Cricetulus griseus: one gene and its partner. The protein of the gene in region 1 interacts with the protein of each later gene in a pairwise test. Links are inferred from orthologs where the notes say so. Each region holds a gene or a part of one and is shown on either strand. Other genes may lie near its edges.

Region 1 (3,645 bases):
CTTTATCCCTTACTTCCCCTCTTCAACCAGCAAGACCTACTCCTTACTGTCCCCAAGCTCATCAGGCCCATGGCTACCTCAAGAACTGGCTGTCCCTGGATATTCACATAGCACATTTCTCTACTATGTCAGATCTTTGTTCAAGGCCCCTTTTCATTTCCCACCGTAAGGCCTTTGGTCTACATTGCCACACAGCACTTCTAACCATTTAACCATATTGCTATTATCCACTCTACCCCCTCCACCCTGTGAAAGGGATCGGACCTAAGGTCTCATACATTACAGGCAAGCACGCTACCACTGACCTCATATCCCCATCTCTCCTTTTACTTCTTATTTTGAGACAATGACTCTCTAAGTTGCCCAGGCTGGCCATGAACTCACCCTGTAACTCAAATGGGCCATGAACTTGGGATCCTCCTACTTCGGCCTTCCACTAAGTTAAGATCATATGCCTATGCCACCCGGGTCATGTATCTACTTCTCTTATCTTCCTTACTCTCTTCTCTCCCTCTCCCCCACTCTCTGCCCTTTCTTTGACTCTACTGTTTTGAGACAGGTTCTCTCTATGTTTCCCAGGCTGGGCTGGAATTTTCAGTCCTCATGAATTCACTTACTGAATCCTAAGTGTATGCCACAATGCCCAGAAACACCTGTCACTTTTCAATATTGCATCTGGTAACTTATTTTCTGTCTCCTCTCCATAGATGCTAAGTGTATCTGGGCTGAGATTTCTATGTGTACAGGTGCACGTGGAGGCAAAGGTCACATGCTGTCTACCTTGTTTGAGACAGCATCTATTACTGGCCCTGGGATCACTGACTAGTCATTAAGTTCAATGGATCTGCCTTTCTCCACCTCCCTGGCACTGGGATTACAAGGGCCACACCTGGCTTTTCCCCCCGCATGGGTCCTGGGATTTGAACTCTGGGTCTGAGGCTGATATAGTAAGCACTTTACCACCTGGACTATCTCCCCAGCCCAGAGATTTTGTTTGCTGTATTCACATATTCCCAGGGCCCAGGAATGGGCCAAGCATAAATTTGGATGTCTACCAGTTGCACTGTTTCTACTAAGGGCACATTTGTTTTCTGATTATAAGACACACTCTTCTAAAAGCAAAACAACAAATAAAAACAGCCTAACCTACCTAACCTGACTGCTACATGGCCACCAAGTACCAACTGGAACAGCATCTGTATGTGTACCTCTCCACACATACCCTCCCTTCCCTCCAGGATTTGTGCTCAGCTTATCAAACATTCTCAATAAATTTTCCTGCAGGTACCAGCCTTACCCAACCTCCCAGGGCCTCGATGATCTGAGAAGACCATTGCTCCAAGAATCTCTTCCCCACATATAGATGGGGAAAGTGGTGCCTGGAGAGGGGTGGTAAGATGACCCTCATAGTCTAAGTTGCTGCTCAGCACTCCATGCTCACAGAGACAAGCATGAGGTATCTCTGGAGCCTAGAGGTCAGTAGCCTTGATCCCTAGAGCTCTGCGGCCACTAGCCCAGGGCACCTTGGCAGGGGCCTGACTCACCATGCCTGAGAGGTAGTCCTGGTTGAACTGCCCTGCATAGTTGGCCACATTATCCAGCCCGATTGGGGGCATGCTGGGAGGAGGGTAGCCAGCACCTCCCCAGGGACCACCACCTGAAAGCAACACCAAGCTCATCAGCTTGCATCCCTAGCCCAAGAAAGGGCAGAAAGGAAGGCTTCATAACAGCAGGGCTTCAAGGCAATGTTATGAATACCCAGAAAGATGGAGCAAGGTCAGGGGAAGGAGAGGAGCTTTCCCTTACTCCAGGGAAGAAGGCAGGCTGGGCCCTCTGTGGGGATCCGGGCATGCTTTGTCCTCTAAAACCCAGCATCACAGGATGAGAGAAAGATACACCCTGAGCATGTGACAGCAGTGAGTTCCATGAATGCTAAGAATTCTCAGATGGAGGGAAATGGGGCCATGCCAGAGGACATGGACACCATAAAAGACAGTAGCAAGGAGCTGGTTGGCTGTGTGTCCTGAGGCAAGACTCAACCACTCTCATTCATGTTTGCAGACAGCTAGAGATGATGACAAGTAGGATCTCAGACTGGTGAGGTAAAGGCTGAGGAGTGGATATCTGTGTGGGGCTGAGTCAGCAACATGGCCAGTGCCTGCCAGAAGCATTCTCACCCAGGGCAGTCCAAGTCTGCTCTGTAGCCTCTGGGCTTTGTAATACCTGGAGCATGCTATCACAGGTGGCAGAGTTTCTGCTGGAGAAGGGACTGCTTCAGAAGGAAGATAAGCTGTGCTGCTTCTGGCCATGTGGGTGGTCTCATTTTATCACCAAGGCTCTTGGAAGCCACAGGGAGGGGCAGCCAGGGAGGGACATTGAATCGACCCTTGGCATAGGCCTCACTGGGAGAGAATTCAAAATCATACTCCTTGAAACAGGGTAGGTGGCTAGAAGCAGCACTTTGGAGAACACCCCTACAGGCTGTCACTGCCTATCTTGTTAGTAGTGGGTACAGCCAGGGAAGTGTAAGAACCTTGAAGCTACTCTGCAAAGGAGTGTACCAGGCCTTTGTCCATATGTCAGCTAATAAGGCCCTCCCAGAACCAGCCAAAGCCAGGCCTCTCAGTTCCGGTCCCAGTGGGTGCAGAGGATCCACCATAGGTCCTCTTACCTGGAGCAGCTGGAGGGTAGCCACCAGCAGGTGGGGGGTAGCCTGGGTAGCTCATAGTTGACTCTGGAAAAGAAGGGAAAGTGTATTGAGATCATGCTGAGGTGAGGATGCTCCCCACCAGGTCCCTTGGGATCTGCTTCTTAGGAACACAACCTACTGCCAAGCCCTTACCAGAGGGATTAGCTTCCTGGGCTCCAGTGCAATCCAGTCCACACCTCCCTACGGGGCCTCCAGTTAGTAGGTCAGGCCCACCCAAGGATACTGGAGGGTGCAACCGCACAAGCCAGCTACTGGTTCCTCGACAGCTGCTCCCCCAAGCCTGGTTTCTGTCTCCACCAACAAGGGTACCAAGTGTTTGCTGTCTGGTGTGCTCTGACACCGTATTCTAGATAGAGCATTGCCTCAGACTCCATGTCTACTTGTCTCATCTTCCTTGTCCTTATCACTATCCCTCCCACAACAGAGGAGCACCCCATCTACAACTCTCAAGCCTGCAACAGCAACCCCCCTCCCTCAGGAATCAGACCCAACCTGCAAGTTCAGACCAGCTGCTGCTGCAGTCTTTAAATGGCTGATCTATGTATGTCTCTCCTGGGCATTCCATTCTCTAACACAAAACAACATAGTTATGTGGGAATCATCATTCTTAGAGCCAAGAGATGCCCTCAGAAGGGCCTGTCTGCTACAGAGCCCTGAATCAGTGCAGGTATTAAAGCCCAAAGAAAAGTAAGAGAGTTACAATGAGATGAGGCAGAAAGGGAAGCAGAGGGAACACCTGCTCTCACAGTCCTCTGTACACAGGTCTTTGGCAACACCTCATGTCAATTAAAATGCCCAGGAGGAACAGAGATCAAACACTGCCCTGCAACCTGCTTGCTCTTGCCACATAATAGCTGCTGCTGCTACTGCAGTAAGTGCAAAGGTCTAAGCCAAAGCCGGGTAAGGAAATTCGTGGCCGCCACAGTCATGTCCAC
Region 2 (4,376 bases), on another chromosome or scaffold:
CTATCCTGTCGCTTGCATTGTCCCTTTGTCTAATCAATTACAGGAAAATGATTCCCTTCTTTTGTTACCTATCTATCTATCTATCTATCTATCTATCTATCTATCTATCTATCTATCTATCTATCTATCTATCTATTTGTAATTTTATGTGCATTGGTGCTTTGCCATGGGTGTGGGATCCCCTGGAACTGGAGTTAGACAGTTATGAGCTGCCATGTGGGTGCTGGGAATTGAACCCACGTCCTCCTGAAGAGCAGTCTGTGCTCTTAACCACTGAGCCATCTCTGCAGCCTGGAAAATGATTCCTTTTATAACAAAAATAAGCTTTTTAAAATTTTCATCATGCCAGGCGTTGGTGGCGAATGCCTTTAATCCCAGCTCTTGGGAGGCAGAGGCAGAGGCAGGCAGATCTCTGTGAGTTCGAGGCCAGCCTGGTCTCTAGAGCGAGTGCCAAAGCTACACAGAGAAACCCTGTCTCGAAAAACAAAAACAAAAAAACGGAAAAAAAAAGAAAAAAAAGAAAAGACAGCCACACCTTAAGAATTACTAATGACATTTAATAAGAAAAACGTCTCTAGGATTATGGATATACTTTGTCTGGTAAGGTGCTTGCCCACTGTGCATTTAGTTCTAGGTTCTATTTTCAGTATGGAATAAATCAGCACTCAGTATTCAGGAGTTACAGACAAGAGGATATGCAAGTTCAAAGTCATCCTTGGCTACATAGAAGTTCCAGACTAGCCTAGAACACACAAGACTGCCAAAGAAAGAGAAAGGGAGGGAGGGAAGGAGGGAGAAGGGGAGAAAGAGATGGAGAGGGGAAGAGAGAGGGAGGGGGAGGGGAAGGGTAGGGAAGAGAGAGAGATCTTGGGGCTGGAGAAAGAGTTCAGAGGTTTAGAGCACTTGCTGCCATTGCAGAAGACCCAGGTTTGATTCTCAGCAACTACATGATAGCTCACAACCATCTGTAACTCCAGTTTCAGTGGATCAGATGCCCTCTTCTATCCTCTGTGGGCAGCAGACATACATACACTTGATTCACATACATACAAGCAGCTAAAACATTCACACAAATAAATACATCTTAAAATTATTTTTTTTTCCAAGACGGGTTTCTCTGTGTAGCCGTAGCTGTCCTAATACTCGCTCTGCAGACCAGGCTGGCCTTGAAGCCACAGAGATCGCTTGCCTCTGCCTCCCGTGTACTGGGATTAAAGGTGTGCGCCACCACTGCCAGGATTAAACAATTGTTTTTGTTTTTTGAGAGAGGGTTTCTCTGTGGCTTTGGAGGCTGTCCTGGAACTAGCTCCTGTAGATCAGGCTGGTCTCGAACTCAGAGATCTGCCTGCATCTGCCTCCTGAGTTCTGGGATTAAAGGTGTGTGCGACCACTGACTGCCTGGTGATAATTTTTTATATATATAAAAAAAATCCATCTGTAATGGTTACAACTAAAGATTAATAATACTGACACCAGCAAAAACATGACTCCATGGAGAGCTCCATACAAAGGCCACAATCTTCTTGATTCTGCTGGGACAGTTTCCTCACATTTATAGTGAGGAAACTTCTCTATGATCCTGCTGACAGCACTTGCCATATGTCTAGTTCCTAAATTGGCCCCAGAGTTTTAGCTTCCAACAAACCTATTTCCACAAAAGTACTTAATGACCATCTTGAAACCGTTCAACAACTAAACAATTACTTCCTAATGTCACCAGACAATGTTTCAGTGTCCCTGAAAATCCTCCTCAGAGGGGTTGCTAAGATTGATTTACCCAAGTAGGTCAAAGGCCTTCTAGATGACTAAGGGACTAGCCTCTCCCCTGAGGCCTATTCTGTAGCTCCCATTTCTCAGAAAGCATTTTCTGAGGCTCATATACATTTGTTTTGGAGCTTGGTGAGGCAACAATAATGATGATCAAGAAAATGTGGACACGGCAGCTTAGAAACACCTTTTCCTTATACTGGTACTGGCAGGACCTCCTTGGAAATTCCAGGAGAGAAACTGCTTACTGTGAATGGATCAGGCTTCAACTCACCATTGGATAATGCTTGCTGAAGCTCATTGTCTGAAATCACTCCACTCCTGTCTTTATCAACCCTACAAAATAAAAAAGACCGAGTAAGTTGGTGATGAAAAATAAAAGTGGCTAAAACATCATTTCTATCAAATCTACATTAGGTCTGGAACGTTACTCTAGCCAGACCTTTCTCTCAGCTCAGCTGGTATGTCACATGCCCCCAGGTGTGCCAGAGGTTAAGGAACACTTTTCCTTAGTTCTTCAAGTCCGTCTAAATCTACACCTGCACCAGTTCACATTTTTCATATTAGGTAAGGATTCTCTAAGTCAAATAAGTCAGTCATTCCTTGGCTACGAATCAGTGGAGTGACAGTCAGGCAATTCAGAAGGACGGCCAGGGACAAAAGAAGCTGCAGTAGTAACCAGTTCTTTTTTTTTTTTTTTTTTCTGATGCTGTTTTCCTTACTCAAGATTTTTTCCCCGTTCCTAAAGCAAGCACACCAGACCCTGTGGGGCGGCTGCTCCGCGCCCCCCAGCCCTGAGCAAAACCAAGTGCCAACACGACTCTGAGCCTTGTGCCACTGTCGACGAGAGGAAGCCGGGGATACAGGGTAGTAGGAAGGGTTACGAGGGAGGTCAGAGGGAAAGAAGGCAGGAGAGAACCGGCGAGTAGGCCCTGGAAACCGAGGGCCCGCCCAAGGGCCGGGGCAGCCGGGCAGCGCCGGCCTCACCGCTGGAAGACGTTCCACAGGAAGCTCTGGTCTGGCAGCGCAGCTCCAGCAGAAGGGCCGGGGCCGGCGCCCGGGCCTGGGCGGTAGGAGTAGGCCGCCATGGGCTGATGCACACCGGTAAAGCGAACCAGCTCCAAACGCGGTGCTTCCGCCTCCGTCCGGGGCAAGACCAGGAGCCCACAACTTCCTGGGAACAACGGAAGCGCGTGCCTTTGAGTCACTTGGCAGGCGTGGTCAGTTGCCATGCAACGTCTGGAGGGCGGTGCAACTAATCTGGGCGGGGCCTCCTATTCAAGCTAGAGGCGTCGGCTCCTGCCCCGCCCTCTTTCCCAGCCCAGGTGCAGGATGAGTTCCAAAGGGAGCAGACCTCCCAGCGCCAACTCAAGGTTACACAACTGCCTAGACCTGGCTGGGGTGGGAAGTGGTGAAAATTTCACTTGAGTTGATGACCTCCCGTTATGCCTGCATAGATAAGTATTGGTGCAAATGTGATGTGCACCAACCTCGTGAAGTTCTCGGCGGAAACTCAAAGTGACATTTTATGTACCCTGGAGTCTGTCCATCTGTCCGTATTTCACCCTCCCGTCTTCCCACTTGCTTATATCGGTTGAACCTCAGCCTCCCTGGGTTTACACAGTGACTTCATTTGTGAATGGCCCCTGTAAGGTTTGGTCTTGAGGTGAGAGCTTCATTTGTCTGTGACTGCTACTTGGACTTCTGTACTTAGATAAACACTTTTGGTGCTAACTCCTATATGCCTTCCTTCATTCTGGATACTAATTCTATGATGTTTTTATAGTGGAATGCCCCTGAATTGGGGGAATGCACAGCACTGGGACAACTATCAACCTGTCATGTTCACATTAACATGCTGTCACAGATCTGTGTGCTGTGTACAGTTTAAGATACTACAGTTTTTCCAGGTCTGCCATAGGGTTATTCCAGCTTTCCTATTCCTCATCCAGTGAAGATTGACTTATCATCATAACTGCTATCTTTGTGGGTTTTTAGTTTACTTGCTAAGGCTGAAAAGATTGGCCTCGTACATCTGAACCGTTCTTCCATGTGGACAACCATCCATTATTTAGCACAGCTCTAGATCTGATTACCTCCCAACTGTATCCTTTTCTGTCCCATTTTTCTTGTTCTTGTCCATGAGATTTTCAGATTCTTCAAAGAAACTATCTCATAGTTTTGGGATTTACCTCAAAATCTACTAAGTTCTTTAAGGTGGATTTTCTTCCATGATTTAGTGAATTCATTTTTTTTAAATTTCTCATAAACTGTTCCAATCTCACTTGTTTTATTTAGATTCTGAAATCCATTTTTAATCTGTCCTATCTCTGGCTCCTTTTCTCTTTTCCAGAAATAAAGTATTGACAACCATAATTTTGCTACTTGATCTTGGAATTTTCTAGTACAAACTTCAGCTAGAAGCTGTTACTTCTGCAGACTGGAGGCCCCTACCTACAGAACCTGGGACTTTACTTGTTGTTTACTAACAAGTCTCCAGCTTGGAATGTTGTAAAGGTCCAGTCCCAAGGAGATCACCTTCTCCAACAGCTTACAGACAGCTGTCTTCTAGGCACCATCATCTATCTTCTTACCCTATCTCAGGTTCA

What was found. The genes of interacting proteins can lie anywhere in the genome.
Region 2: the proteins of Anxa11 (region 1) and Pdcd6 interact in binary tests that used the Homo sapiens proteins (3 or more experiments, as listed by UniProt). The link is inferred for Cricetulus griseus from reciprocal best matches to the Homo sapiens genes ANXA11 and PDCD6.

What each region holds. Positions count from the first base shown.
Region 1 is NW_023276807.1:193,951,053-193,954,697, forward strand, and holds part of Anxa11 (annexin A11), read right to left. Parts: intron 2,735-3,645; 5' UTR 2,727-2,734; coding exon 2,672-2,726; intron 1,658-2,671; coding exon 1,545-1,657; intron 1-1,544. UniProt on the Homo sapiens protein: Binds specifically to calcyclin in a calcium-dependent manner. Required for midbody formation and completion of the terminal phase of cytokinesis.
Region 2 is NC_048595.1:368,964,656-368,969,031, forward strand, and holds the start of Pdcd6 (programmed cell death protein 6), read right to left. Parts: upstream 2,940-4,376; 5' UTR 2,856-2,939; coding exon 2,755-2,855; intron 2,104-2,754; coding exon 2,042-2,103; intron 1-2,041. UniProt on the Homo sapiens protein: Calcium sensor that plays a key role in processes such as endoplasmic reticulum (ER)-Golgi vesicular transport, endosomal biogenesis or membrane repair.